2 linked regions of the Drosophila melanogaster genome follow. The gene in region 1 interacts genetically with each later gene. Each region holds a gene or a part of one and is shown on either strand. Other genes may lie near its edges. The genes, in order: dbo and Pak.

Region 1 (7,427 bases):
CTTTATGCTTTGTATTTACATATATTTTATTATTTTTATAGTTTATTATGAACCCACTGGAAGTGTACCGCTTATCATCTAGAGACCCGCCTACCGTTATCATCCTTGCTGCTACTGCCGACGCTAGCAGAGGCAGAGACGGCGGCAGAGGCAGAGGCTGTGACGACAGCGACGGCGTTATTGATCAGTGGTGCGATTTCCATAATATTTATTTAGATATCGGAGCTCCGTTTGTTTATGTAATACACTTTATTGGCTTTACTTTTTGTGTTTGTCTTTTTCGCAAAATATTTTTGTTTGTTTGTTAATTCACATTCGCGTCTCTCTCTGTCTGCACCAGTCTTTCGATACGCTTGTGTGTTTATGTGTGAGAGAGCGCAACTGTGTGTATGTGTGTGAGAGAGCGCAACTGTGTGTGGGTGTACGAATGTGAGTATGTGTGTGTAAGCGTTTTGTCACGTATTTTTACAACGGCGTTGCTTTTGTAGTAAATATGGCTGCCAAGTTTCGAAAATTTCTGCAATCGTCCGCTTTTGTCGCACGAATTTAAATTTCCAATGCAATTTTTGTACTTGTACTCTAGTTATTCCATCGGTTGCATTACATCCTTTTGCTATTGTTCTCTCGATTTTCGCTCTCTTTCCCTCAACATGTTTTGCATTTGCATTTAATTCTGTTGTTGCTATTGCTGTTTTTGTTGCTGTGTCGTCGTTTTTGTTATTGCTATAGTCGTTGTCGTTTTTGTTGTTTGTGTTCCACTCCATCCACAAAATAATTGAGTGCGCTCCACTTTGGTGCGAGGGAGACGGAAAATTCTTCGCACGCACACAGTCTCACGTTTTTCCGTTTTCTTTTCTCGCCCAGTTCACGTACTTTCCACTTTCCAATCTCAAATTATTATTTGCTCACCGAACTTTTTCGCGATCTAAATTGCCTTTATTTACACGTTGCACTTAAAATTAGCTACTATTTTGCACTATTTAACGGGCTTTTCAACTGCTCAAAACTCGCCTTCCTCTTCAGCGTCGCGTATAGAAATAGTATGAAATAAAAAATACCAGCATGCTGCTCACTAAGATACCAAAATATACCGTTTCTTTAGCGACCAGGGAAGCCAAATACAGTTGGCTCTGTGATAAATGTACTCTTACAAAGCCTGTCTTACGTTATTTGCTTATTTTTTCGGGAATATTAAAAGACAGTTTACTAATGAAAATTTTAAGAGATTATTATAATGATTTCAATAATTCACAGTTAGATTCCCTTCCGTTGCACTTACTTGTAGTTGTATACAAATAGTGTTTATTTTATTTTTAATTATTTAAAAATATGTGATCTCTTATTTTAATTTCGAAAAAAAATGTGAAGAGATATTTCAAACAGATCTCCTTAAAATTAGCTTACGTTTACGATTTAATAACAATATCGATATAACGAAATGTCCACCAAAGTATCACAATATAAATAAGTGTATTCTCAAAAATATCGATACACTGATATTGTTATGCATTTCTCACATCTCTATCGCCATACCAATCGTTTCGTGTTTCGACTTTTCCAGGCCAACCAAAAAACGATTTTTCCGTACTGAAAAGTGCAATTCGCGCAAGGAAAATCTTCGATGTGGTCCTTTTAAGCCATCAAGATTGCATTTTCGAAATTTTCCGCCTGCAGCTGGCCCTGGACGTGCTTTGTATCCGTAGAGAACAGAGACGCAAAGGTTGGGACACCAACATATACATCGAAATCTAAACCAACATCATCCGCGTGTGTGTGTGTGTGGTGTGTGCTTGTGGGTGGACCAGGTTACCTTTCAGTTTTAAGGTGTTCCATGGAGTGAATGTTGTAAAAGCGATTGAACATATATCACATGAATAAAAGAGATTTCAGTTTTAATTAAATTAGGTTGAAGATAATTCCACAAGCATATTATTGAACTAGAGAACTGTTTATCTTAACCATCGATTAACTCAACCTGCCAATTTGTTTACCAATTAAAGTACATGTTTTAATTTTAAAACTTAGCTATTTTAAGATTCAAAACAGAAGTTTCAAGTAACGATCTTTTAGCTTAAAGTTTCTAAATATTTAAGGATTATTAATATTTATTTTATATCATTTATACGAATGGTGGATTGTTAAACTTAACGTGTTGAATGAATACCTTAAATAACACTCGTATTAGTGTTAAGATGTTTCTTTAGTCGAAAGGTCCACCTTAGTATCCGCAGATCCGAAGTTGTGAATGTGTGCGTGTTACACAGCATGTCTGTGTGTGGGTGGTGCAAAAGGGCGGAGGACAAGAAAAATAAATCAGAATTTCCACATCCAGTGCCCAGAATATGAATTATTTGCATCAAAAATGTACAATTACTTAATTTATTAAGTAAACAGTCGCTTCAAGAAGATATTAAACGAAGCACAATGTCCTTGTAAATTGATTAGTTACTTACTTACTTATAATCGAGTTCAATGCCGCCCTTCTACGCCCTACCTACGCATTGATTTAATTTACTTTGACTTGACCATTAATCACTATTCTACTATATACTACCATTTCTGCCCACAGATAGACGCCGTGTGGGGTTGGGTTGCTTCCGGCCCGCTGCGCTTAGCAGCGAACAGAATGGGCGACCTGCCGGGCTCGGGCTCCACCGCTCAACCACGGGATGCTGGTAAGGATTTGATAGGAGCTTGGTTTGGAATTGGGAAGAGAGCAAGCCAGGGGCAACCTGTGTGCCTCATGTGACTTTAAATACTTCATATTTGTTCGTAAGACTATGATCTTTCAGCTAAAAAATACTATTAGAAAAGGTTTTTCCTTCATAAAAAAGTATTTGAACTCTCATTCACAATTCCAATTAATCGGTACCATTAAGTTTATTTGTACTATTCCAAACATATGGTATTTTTATACTCAAAATCATTATGTATGCCAACAGCTGTCACCGGTACCGGTGGTAATTCCACGGCTGGTGGCGGCTCCTCCGTTGGATCTACGGCAGTGGACCGACCTCCGTCGCCCGCCCGCCTCTCTCACACGTCCGAGAAACATCCGAAGGTCACGCTCACTGAACTAAATATGCTACGGCGCCATCGGGAGCTCTGCGATGTGGTGCTCAACGTGGGCGGACGGAAGATCTTTGCCCACCGGGTAATCCTGTCCGCCTGCAGCTCCTACTTCTGTGCCATGTTCACTGGCGAATTGGAGGAATCGCGCCAGACTGAGGTCACCATACGCGACATCGATGAGAATGCCATGGAGCTGCTCATCGACTTTTGTTACACCGCCCACATAATCGTCGAGGAGTCGAATGTCCAGACCCTCCTTCCCGCCGCCTGCCTGCTTCAACTGGTTGAGATTCAGGACATCTGCTGCGAGTTCCTCAAACGGCAATTGGATCCCACCAACTGCCTGGGCATACGCGCCTTTGCCGACACACACTCCTGCCGGGAACTTCTACGGATCGCCGACAAATTCACGCAGCACAACTTCCAGGAGGTGATGGAGAGCGAGGAGTTTCTGCTGCTCCCCGTCGGCCAGCTGGTGGACATCATTTGCAGCGACGAGCTAAACGTGCGCTCCGAGGAGCAGGTCTTCAACGCGGTCATGTCCTGGCTCAAGTACAATGTCGCCGAGCGGCGACAACATCTGGCACAGGTGAGCTACTGTAAACCATATCTGATTACTACTCACCGATTCCTACTTGTTCCGTTTGATAATTACTTTGGAATAATATAAACAGCTCAATTTTTAAGTATTGCAACTAATAAATAAATAATGAATTGATATTTTCGAATATTCTCAGGTGCTCCAACACGTCCGTCTGCCTCTGCTGTCGCCAAAGTTCCTGGTTGGCACGGTGGGCTCTGATCTCCTGGTGCGCAGCGACGAGGCCTGCCGGGATTTGGTGGATGAGGCTAAGAACTATCTGTTGCTTCCGCAGGAGCGACCGCTGATGCAGGGTCCACGCACCAGACCGCGAAAGCCAACTCGACGAGGCGAAGTCCTGTTCGCCGTGGGCGGTTGGTGTTCCGGCGATGCTATTGCCTCCGTGGAGCGTTTCGATCCTCAGACCAACGACTGGAAAATGGTCGCTCCCATGAGCAAACGACGCTGCGGAGTTGGCGTGGCCGTGTTAAATGATCTACTTTACGCCGTGGGCGGTCACGATGGCCAGAGCTATCTGAATAGCATCGAGCGTTATGATCCACAAACGAATCAATGGTCCTGCGACGTTGCGCCCACCACTTCCTGCCGCACCAGCGTCGGCGTGGCTGTGCTCGACGGCTTCTTGTACGCGGTGGGTGGCCAGGATGGCGTTCAATGTTTGAACCACGTGGAGCGCTACGATCCAAAAGAGAACAAATGGTCGAAAGTGGCACCGATGACAACAAGGCGACTGGGAGTGGCGGTAGCCGTGCTTGGAGGATTTCTCTACGCAATTGGCGGCTCCGATGGACAGTGCCCGTTGAACACCGTAGAGCGATATGATCCCAGGTAAATCATAAATAAAGCATTTAAAAGCTTTAGACGTACAAGTACATTTTCTATCGCTTGTAACAAATGACCTTAATGTACATTGCACTTGAACGTAGTATTTGTTTGATTTACATTGCCCCGATTTTATCATTACAGACACAACAAATGGGTAGCAGTCAGCCCGATGTCAACGCGACGCAAGCACCTGGGCTGTGCTGTGTTCAATAACTACATTTACGCCGTCGGCGGGCGAGACGATTGCATGGAGCTCTCGTCCGCCGAGCGCTACAATCCACTGACCAATACCTGGAGCCCCATCGTGGCCATGACCTCCCGCCGCAGTGGGGTGAGTTTTTGTTACACTTTTTCTCGGCGAATAGTATTGTATTAAATGAAATCGCACCATTTTAGGTTGGCCTGGCCGTCGTCAATGGACAGCTGTATGCTGTGGGCGGCTTTGATGGTTCCGCCTATTTGAAAACCATCGAGGTCTACGACCCAGAGACGAACCAATGGCGTTTGTGCGGCTGCATGAACTACCGCCGACTGGGCGGCGGCGTGGGCGTTATGCGTGCCCCTCAGACTGAGAACTATATGTGGTGCGAAAATAGTTTTAAGCAACCGAATTCCTGAAACTAACTCAACTCCCATCCCTTCCATTGCTGATGAAATGTTGTCTTGTCTCTCTTTTCCCCCCGAAAACATGCTAACAAATTCAGGATACGGAAAGATTCTGTTGTCTGATGGGAACAGCAGCCGACAACGTTGCCCTCGCAAACGTTGCCGCCGCCGCACTTCTACTAACAATATCCGCAATCGAAGCCAAATCTAATCGACTAAACAAAACATCTTTTCGCCCCATTGTCTACTAGCAGTGTAATCGCTTTGTATTAATTGTTAATTGTTTATTTGGTAGAGCCTAAAGCGCATGTTTGTTAGACTTTTCCGGAATAGTATTAGAGTTAGCATTGTTCCCACGTTCACCTGCAATAACACATCCCCATCACTCCTGTGCGTAATTATATATGATTCTACTGTATGTTAAGCAAGTATATTTTATAAATAACTTAATATCTAAATGTTGCCGGTGGTATTTCATGGAAATCGCTAGCTCATAACCATGCCTTCTTTCGAAAAAAACAAAACAAAATCAAATATTAACCTAGAAACGAATTCGATTAGTTGTAAATCCTTAAACGAAGAGCTCTAAAGTCAAGTAACAAATTGGTATTAAAATAATTTAGATTTAAGGAGTGAATTCAAGAAAGTTTGTCCGAAATTAAACATCACAATGGTGCAATATTTCGATCGACCAACTAAACGCTGTTGTTTAGTCAAGTACACTTTAAATCTTTGCAAACGTCTTCAATAATACCACGACTATATGAAGTGAACCGAATAATTGCAAAGAATTTAAAAAAATAATGAATATTCAGCCTGTCAAGCTTAAAAAAAAACCATTAAGGTAATCACACACACACACAATGAAGAAGTTAGACCTAGCCCAAGATAATTCAATAGTAACAATTAACAATTACGCAGCCGTAAGATCAACTTTAAGGTAATAAATTTTAATATTGTTAATCCTAGATCGTGTAAACCGGTAAGAGTTTTCGGCCGGAATCAGGTCAAGTTTTAAGATGACTTATTGTTAAACCAAGTTTGACCATCGAGCTGAATGAACCAACTCGAATTAATCGCTTAGATAAGGGAGTTAAAACACAAGTAGACTCTCAATAACAACACATTTTCTTTGTTGCCTTTTACACCAACACTATTAAACAATTATTTATTCAAAATTATTATTTATTACACGCTTTCGTATCTCATTTAGTTTATTTTAGGTGCACATTTATAAACTGTTGTTAAATCGAGCAAAAAGGAATGATCTTTGCTTCCAAATGATGAATAAGAATAGCATTTATAAAAAACCAAGCTTATTTATATTATAGCTTTAAGTCAAAATGGTCAACAATTATACAAAAATTCGCATACCACCCATTATGCGTAGTTAAAAAATAACATTTCCTAGTTGTGTTGAGTGGTAAAAGTGCTTAACGCAAATAATAGAAGTGTTAACCTAAGAAATGATCGTAAACCCGTGCTATGTATAAGAATATATAAAAATAAAAATATATCAAAATTAAGACACTTTGTTTCATTCAATACATTACAGCCAAGGGCGGAAATTGCTGCCAAAAAATAATTAAAAATAAATATCCAAGTGTACTATTTTGTATTATATTCTATAATTTATAAATTTGTAATGCAATCAATGTACCGTTACGCGGTACTGGTACGCATCGGTACAATAGTTACGATATTGGATCCTTTACCGATAGCCGATGCTCGAACCCGATTGTTTTTGTTTTAGGCCTTAATTCGCACACACTGATTTGGTGGCACTACACACATTTTGTTATTTTAAACATTTTTCAAGAAGTCAATATTATGATAACAATTTTATGAAAATAATTGAACTAAATGCATTCGGAACATTTCGATATACACTGCCGACCAGTGTGAACGCTTCGCGACGTGGAGAAACTTCAGGCACGTCAGCTATCGATAAATTAAAATGTGTATTCGATTAGCGTACGTTAAACAGCTGTTTATTCTGGCGCTCTTTCATACGTTCGCTGAAATAGTTTTGTATTTCTGGCCGGAAATGATGTCCCAAATTCCGGATTTGGCCGGCGGAAATGGGCAACAGAAGCGAAAGATTCTGAGCGGCGGCGAATACAATAAGATTTGCCGGTTTATCAACGGCTTCCACGGCTTGGCCATCGACTGCGAGTTCGAGTTGAGGAATCGCTTCTTCAGGGACGTGGAGCCAATGGCATTGACATGCATCCTGCAGTCGGAGCTTTTTAACCGGTCGCGTGGTCACTGGAAGCAGGATCAGCGCGGGAAAAGGCTTCTCAAAGCGTAAGGCCACAATCTC
Region 2 (4,851 bases), on another chromosome or scaffold:
TTATAAATTTATCAATATAGGCCGTCCGGCGAACTAATTCGGACTGTGGGCCCGCTGCTCAGTTGTTCCGTCAGCGTGTCTCCCACCTTCGAGTGTCACTGCCACTAGAGCAGGCTGCAAAAGGCAACAAACAACATACATCGCTCCAAGAGATTGTCTCGAGCACCCCAGCTCGCGAGAGTGCCTCCCCTACATTGCTTAAAAGCTGATTGATATGGGTATTCGAATTTTGTATACTCTCCGAAGCTAATTTTATAAATTAGTTGAGACTATACATTTCAATTCAGCAATTATTGCGCATCTATGTGAGGAACTTAAAATATTATCCTATTTAAGTTAAGTGTGCATTGATCATAATTGTATACCCACATCTATTCACTTTTAGTTCATTTATTTTAAATATTCATTGGAGCACCTATAGAGCATATGGAGTTAAAAAATATGACCCAAAATGGAATAATCATTAAAGGACTATATTTTAATTTCAGTTTCCATTAGACGCAAACCACTGTTCTCACACAACACACTTTAAGGGTATCCTCTCTACCTCAGTTGCTCCGCTCTCGCCCACGTAAACGATCGAGAGCCATAAAAAATTCGTTGCGATAACAAGAGTGGCTTCGATTGCACTCATAATAAAAACAAAGCAGCTCACGCATTGGGAATTACAGCAACACAAATGAGGAAATTAAGCAGCGAGGACAGCAACAACATAAACACACTCGAGTGGGCGGCATCGCAGCCAAACATATGAGCGAGAGGGCGAAAAGGAGTGGGAGCGCAGAGTGGCGAGGAGAGCAAGGCGGCTTTGGCGCCTGTCTGCTTTGCCGGCGACGTCGACTGCGCTGCTTTTATGATTCATTTATCATCGTCAGGCGTCAAGAGTCAATGCAGCTAACGGGAGGCGGAGAGTCTGGGACGAGGGGGTGGCGAAGTGTGAAAACGTTGGACAAACATTAACATACAGTTCCAACAGCTGTGGTCAACTTAATAGCATAGCGGGGATCTAATAAGATATCAACTCCAACTTTTGAATCATCAGAAAAAAGGGTTCTTAGTGACCAATATATGTACATATATGTGTACATAAGTATATAAGAGAATCATAGGATAAAATACCCAAATCATTATGTGTCATGCGGTTCATTCCGACATTACCTTTCTACCCCAATTTATCAAGTGCAATGTTTTCTTGCTAATTGTTTTTAAATTCACCGATGTAAGTAGATTGTTTACTCAATAGATACGCTCGTTGATTTCAATTACATATGTATGTATGTCGATACATACTGAATTTAAGATAAAAAGTAAAGGAGTATCGACAAATAGAAAGTAGTAAACTTGCTGTGTGATATATTCTTGACCGCAACTGTATATCTGTACTATAGGCTTTATGGGCATACGTTGGTTTACTGGCTGCTTGCCCAGAGATCTATAAACGTATATATGTATGTACATATAATATGCATGCAAACATACACACATAGGTGAAAATTCGTTTTTAAATCAAGCAAGAACAAACTTTTCGGGAGCGTGTGGGCGCCCAGAACTGGGTTAACGATGTACCGCATTGTGTTTGATTTCATTGACGGTCGAACTTTAGGTAAAATCGATAAAAAATGTTTTTCTTTCTGCAGGGGCCCATGCAAAATTATTCCCTAATGAGAAAAACACACATTGTAGGCACAGGAAACTCGACAACACTTGCGGCATTTAAATTAGCGACAGGGGTTGTCAAACGCAGGGGAGCGGAAGGGAGGAGGGTAGGACATTCAAAGTGACGCAGGCCTAGGTGCATGTTGCAACAACAGCGACGCAAACGTGGCGCTCGCTCCAAGAGCTGAAAGAAGCCACAAACATATGCATACTTCTTCGCCACGTTTACGCGGAGCCAAAGTTTGTGATCAAGCTTCTTGATTACTTTGACGACTGCTTTATGTTAACTTTCTATTAAAACTAAACTTAAGAATTTATTCATGGAATTCATTTTACGCAATTTTTCCGAGGATTGCTGTATAAATATGAAGCCAAAACATGACGAAGATCACCTTCTGCTGTCCGAAGACTTTAAGTAAGTTATCTTAGTATCAATATACAAAATGTAAGCATTAAAAATGATACGATGATTATGGTCGGTGCATATTTAGCGAGTTGCCACGCATAACTGCTGGCGACGGAGACTCTCAGCCGCTCCGACGTTGTCTATTTTGGTTGCGGACGCCAGCCGAAAGCAGCAGGCGGAAATGTTATGCCTTTTATATTCCTCTTTTCAGTTCCCTACCGCGACCGCTTCCGCGCGTCCCTGTCCCTTCCGCTTTTACCTGTGACCGTGCTAAGCAAATATGTTTTTCGTTGAACGAAGGAAGGGGGTGGTGCACTGGCGCACTGGACATGTGCCGTTAGAGCGGTAACTGTTAAATGCCAAATCGACTGCGAAATGTTGTTAGTTATTAGAGCTTTATGTAAATGTCTTGTATCGTGTCACGTGTGTTAATAGCGGGGGAAGGGGCATTGGGGCATTCCAGCTTGTTGACATTTGGTTGCTTTATTTTTGGGCTGGAAATTCGGGAGCAGCAATGTGCTAATCCAAAATAATGTGGCGTGGAAACCACTTGAAACGTTTTCCTTTAATCCACATACACGCACACACACACACGTGAGTTGGAAAAATCAATGTGTGCAACCTCTCCTTAGGCGGTGTGTGTGTGCTTGTCTGTGCATTGGAAGCCAGACCAATTGGACTAACGGTGCACTCTCTTTTTATGAATGAAACTCCCTCGCCCCGCTCTCCACAAGACCATTCTACCCGCTCCACTCGGCCACCACTCTCCACTTGAACTCACTGCAAGTACAATATGCCTTGGCTGCCTTTCTTTTGCACGGTGCACCCTGTACGCCGCTTGCAGTCGAAGAAGAAACGCTTGCGATTCACGGATTCGCGTGGACACCACTTCTCCACTGGCTTCTTGGAGTTTTCCGAGCCCACAACACTTGGCCGCACTCGCACACACTCCAAACCGCACACACACTGTATTGTTTTCCAGTTTTCTCTGGTGTGTGTCATAAATGGCCGACGGACGAGAGGCACCAGCAGCAGTTAAAGCGCAGCAATCTTATGGCGCTCCGCAAACTTTCTCGCTTTCTAGCTTCTTTAGCAACGCGCGCGCATTTTCGGTCCTTGCATCACCCACTAATTGGTTTACATTATTCAGGGGTTTGTTAACTACGAAAAATAATTACAGAAAGACGACAAGACGGCCGCAGCAGACAATGTAGCGATGGCAAAAATATATCAATATATCGATAGCGAACAGAAACGAATATATTCGCTCCGTGACTTTTCACAACATATCGATGAGTTTTTTGTATTGTGATTGGCGACCTTTGAAAAAGTGTTTTTCAAAAAATACCACATCAAATTTTGAGTTCATAATAATCTCTTTGTTCCAAATATTTTTATTTCCAACAAATTGCATAGTGCCAATAAAGTTTGGGGCGTGTCTAAATGCCTCCATGAACGATTGTTGACAGAAATGAATGCATTTTTAGATATGGGTTGAAACTTCAGATAGCGAAGTTACTTTAGATGTTTGAACTGGCGAACAGAAAAACAGCCATTATCTAGTACCCTCTTTAAGACTAGGTTTTTCTTTAATTTTGAAAGATGAAGATAGATATGAGCCTAAAGTGTTTTTAAGATGTCCCTGACCACGCTGCGAAACATACAAGAAAGCGCGCAGTCGAAGCGCCTCAGGCACAGCTGCCTCAGACCAAGGAGCAGTTGTCCGAACCGCAGGTAGTTGGATTGCTGCAGGGTGTAGCGGGCTAAGGAGATCAGGGCGGCTTTAGAGTGGCTTCCCAGGATAACGGCATACTCCGCATTGATGGCCAATTCTGTAAAAACATGCAATCGATATAAGCAATTAAAAGTATTAAAATGGGATATACTAATGGTGGTTTGACTTCCTATTAAACTCTTAATTAAATTAAAACGATGTAAAAGGTCTTAAATCTGTCTCTAATCTTGAATCTAATCAAATTTTATGGTTGGTTCAAACAAACCAACTGCACATGCTGGAAAATTTTCTTTTGAATTTATTAAGCCCAAAACGGAAACGTTTTTTCTGGGGTTAAGAAAACTGCTTGGGTGTACTCTTTCATGCAGAATCAAATAGCAAAATCTATACATAGCGTACATAGGATTTAAATTTTCGTCTAAGAAATCACGTCAATATGTGTAAAAACATTGAAAATTGGTTAGATGGCTTCAAACCGCTTTTATTTTTAAATCCTAACAAGCCTTTTTACCGCACAGGCGGAGCTTTACCTTTTCTGCACAGGATTAGGGACTCCATAAAGTTGAGTTCCAGGACGTCGGCCCTTAGCTGGTGGGCCTCGCAAATGAGCCGTTTGAGCTGCTCATCGCCGCAGCCGTCGATCATGGCGCTGATGTCCAGAGACCAGTGGGACGCTCGCAGGACGAAGATCTCGCTCCACACCACCTGAAAGATGGCGTCTTGTTGGCAGCGATCCAACAGAGCGAACTGCTCGTTGGCCTTCGCCTGGCGCAGGCACGTGACAAGGATCTGGGCGAGGATCTGGAAGTGCAGCGCCTGGGAGTGGGGCGTCGGGGATGGCGCCGCCTGAGATGGCGGAGCTTGTCTCCGGCCAGTGCGGTAGAGAGCCACCTGCTGGTTGCGCGGACCGCGCTCCTCCTGAACCGCAGCAGCGTTCATTCCCACGGCCAGGCATCGCTGGAAGCGGCAGGAGGGACACCAGTTCCGCCGCGCCTTGTCCACCACACAGTTCCCGACCAGAGCGATGCAGGCGTAGCTGCTCCCGCGCCGCACG

What was found.
Region 2: of dbo (region 1) and Pak, changing one suppresses a phenotype caused by changing the other (phenotypic suppression), as found in Drosophila melanogaster (one study listed by BioGRID).

What each region holds. Positions count from the first base shown.
Region 1 is NT_037436.4:15,825,377-15,832,803, forward strand, and holds dbo (diablo), read left to right. Parts: upstream 1-1,511; 5' UTR 1,512-1,720; intron 1,721-2,569; 5' UTR 2,570-2,626; coding exon 2,627-2,675; intron 2,676-2,942; coding exon 2,943-3,661; intron 3,662-3,809; coding exon 3,810-4,501; intron 4,502-4,639; coding exon 4,640-4,829; intron 4,830-4,894; coding exon 4,895-5,116; 3' UTR 5,117-5,202; coding exon of another isoform or gene 5,203-5,227; 3' UTR 5,228-6,628; downstream 6,629-7,427. Other genes in the region: DCP2 (decapping protein 2), read right to left, coding at 95-203; CG12713 (uncharacterized protein), read left to right, coding at 7,152-7,411. UniProt on the Drosophila melanogaster protein: Probable substrate-specific adapter of an E3 ubiquitin-protein ligase complex which mediates the ubiquitination and subsequent proteasomal degradation of target proteins. May have a role in synapse differentiation and growth.
Region 2 is NT_033777.3:6,349,344-6,354,194, reverse strand, and holds the start of Pak (p21-activated kinase), read right to left. Parts: upstream 3,300-4,851; 5' UTR 2,844-3,299; intron 1,073-2,843; exon of another isoform or gene 656-1,072; intron 108-655; exon of another isoform or gene 1-107. Other genes in the region: Hr83 (hormone receptor 83), read right to left, coding at 3,683-3,894, 4,328-4,851.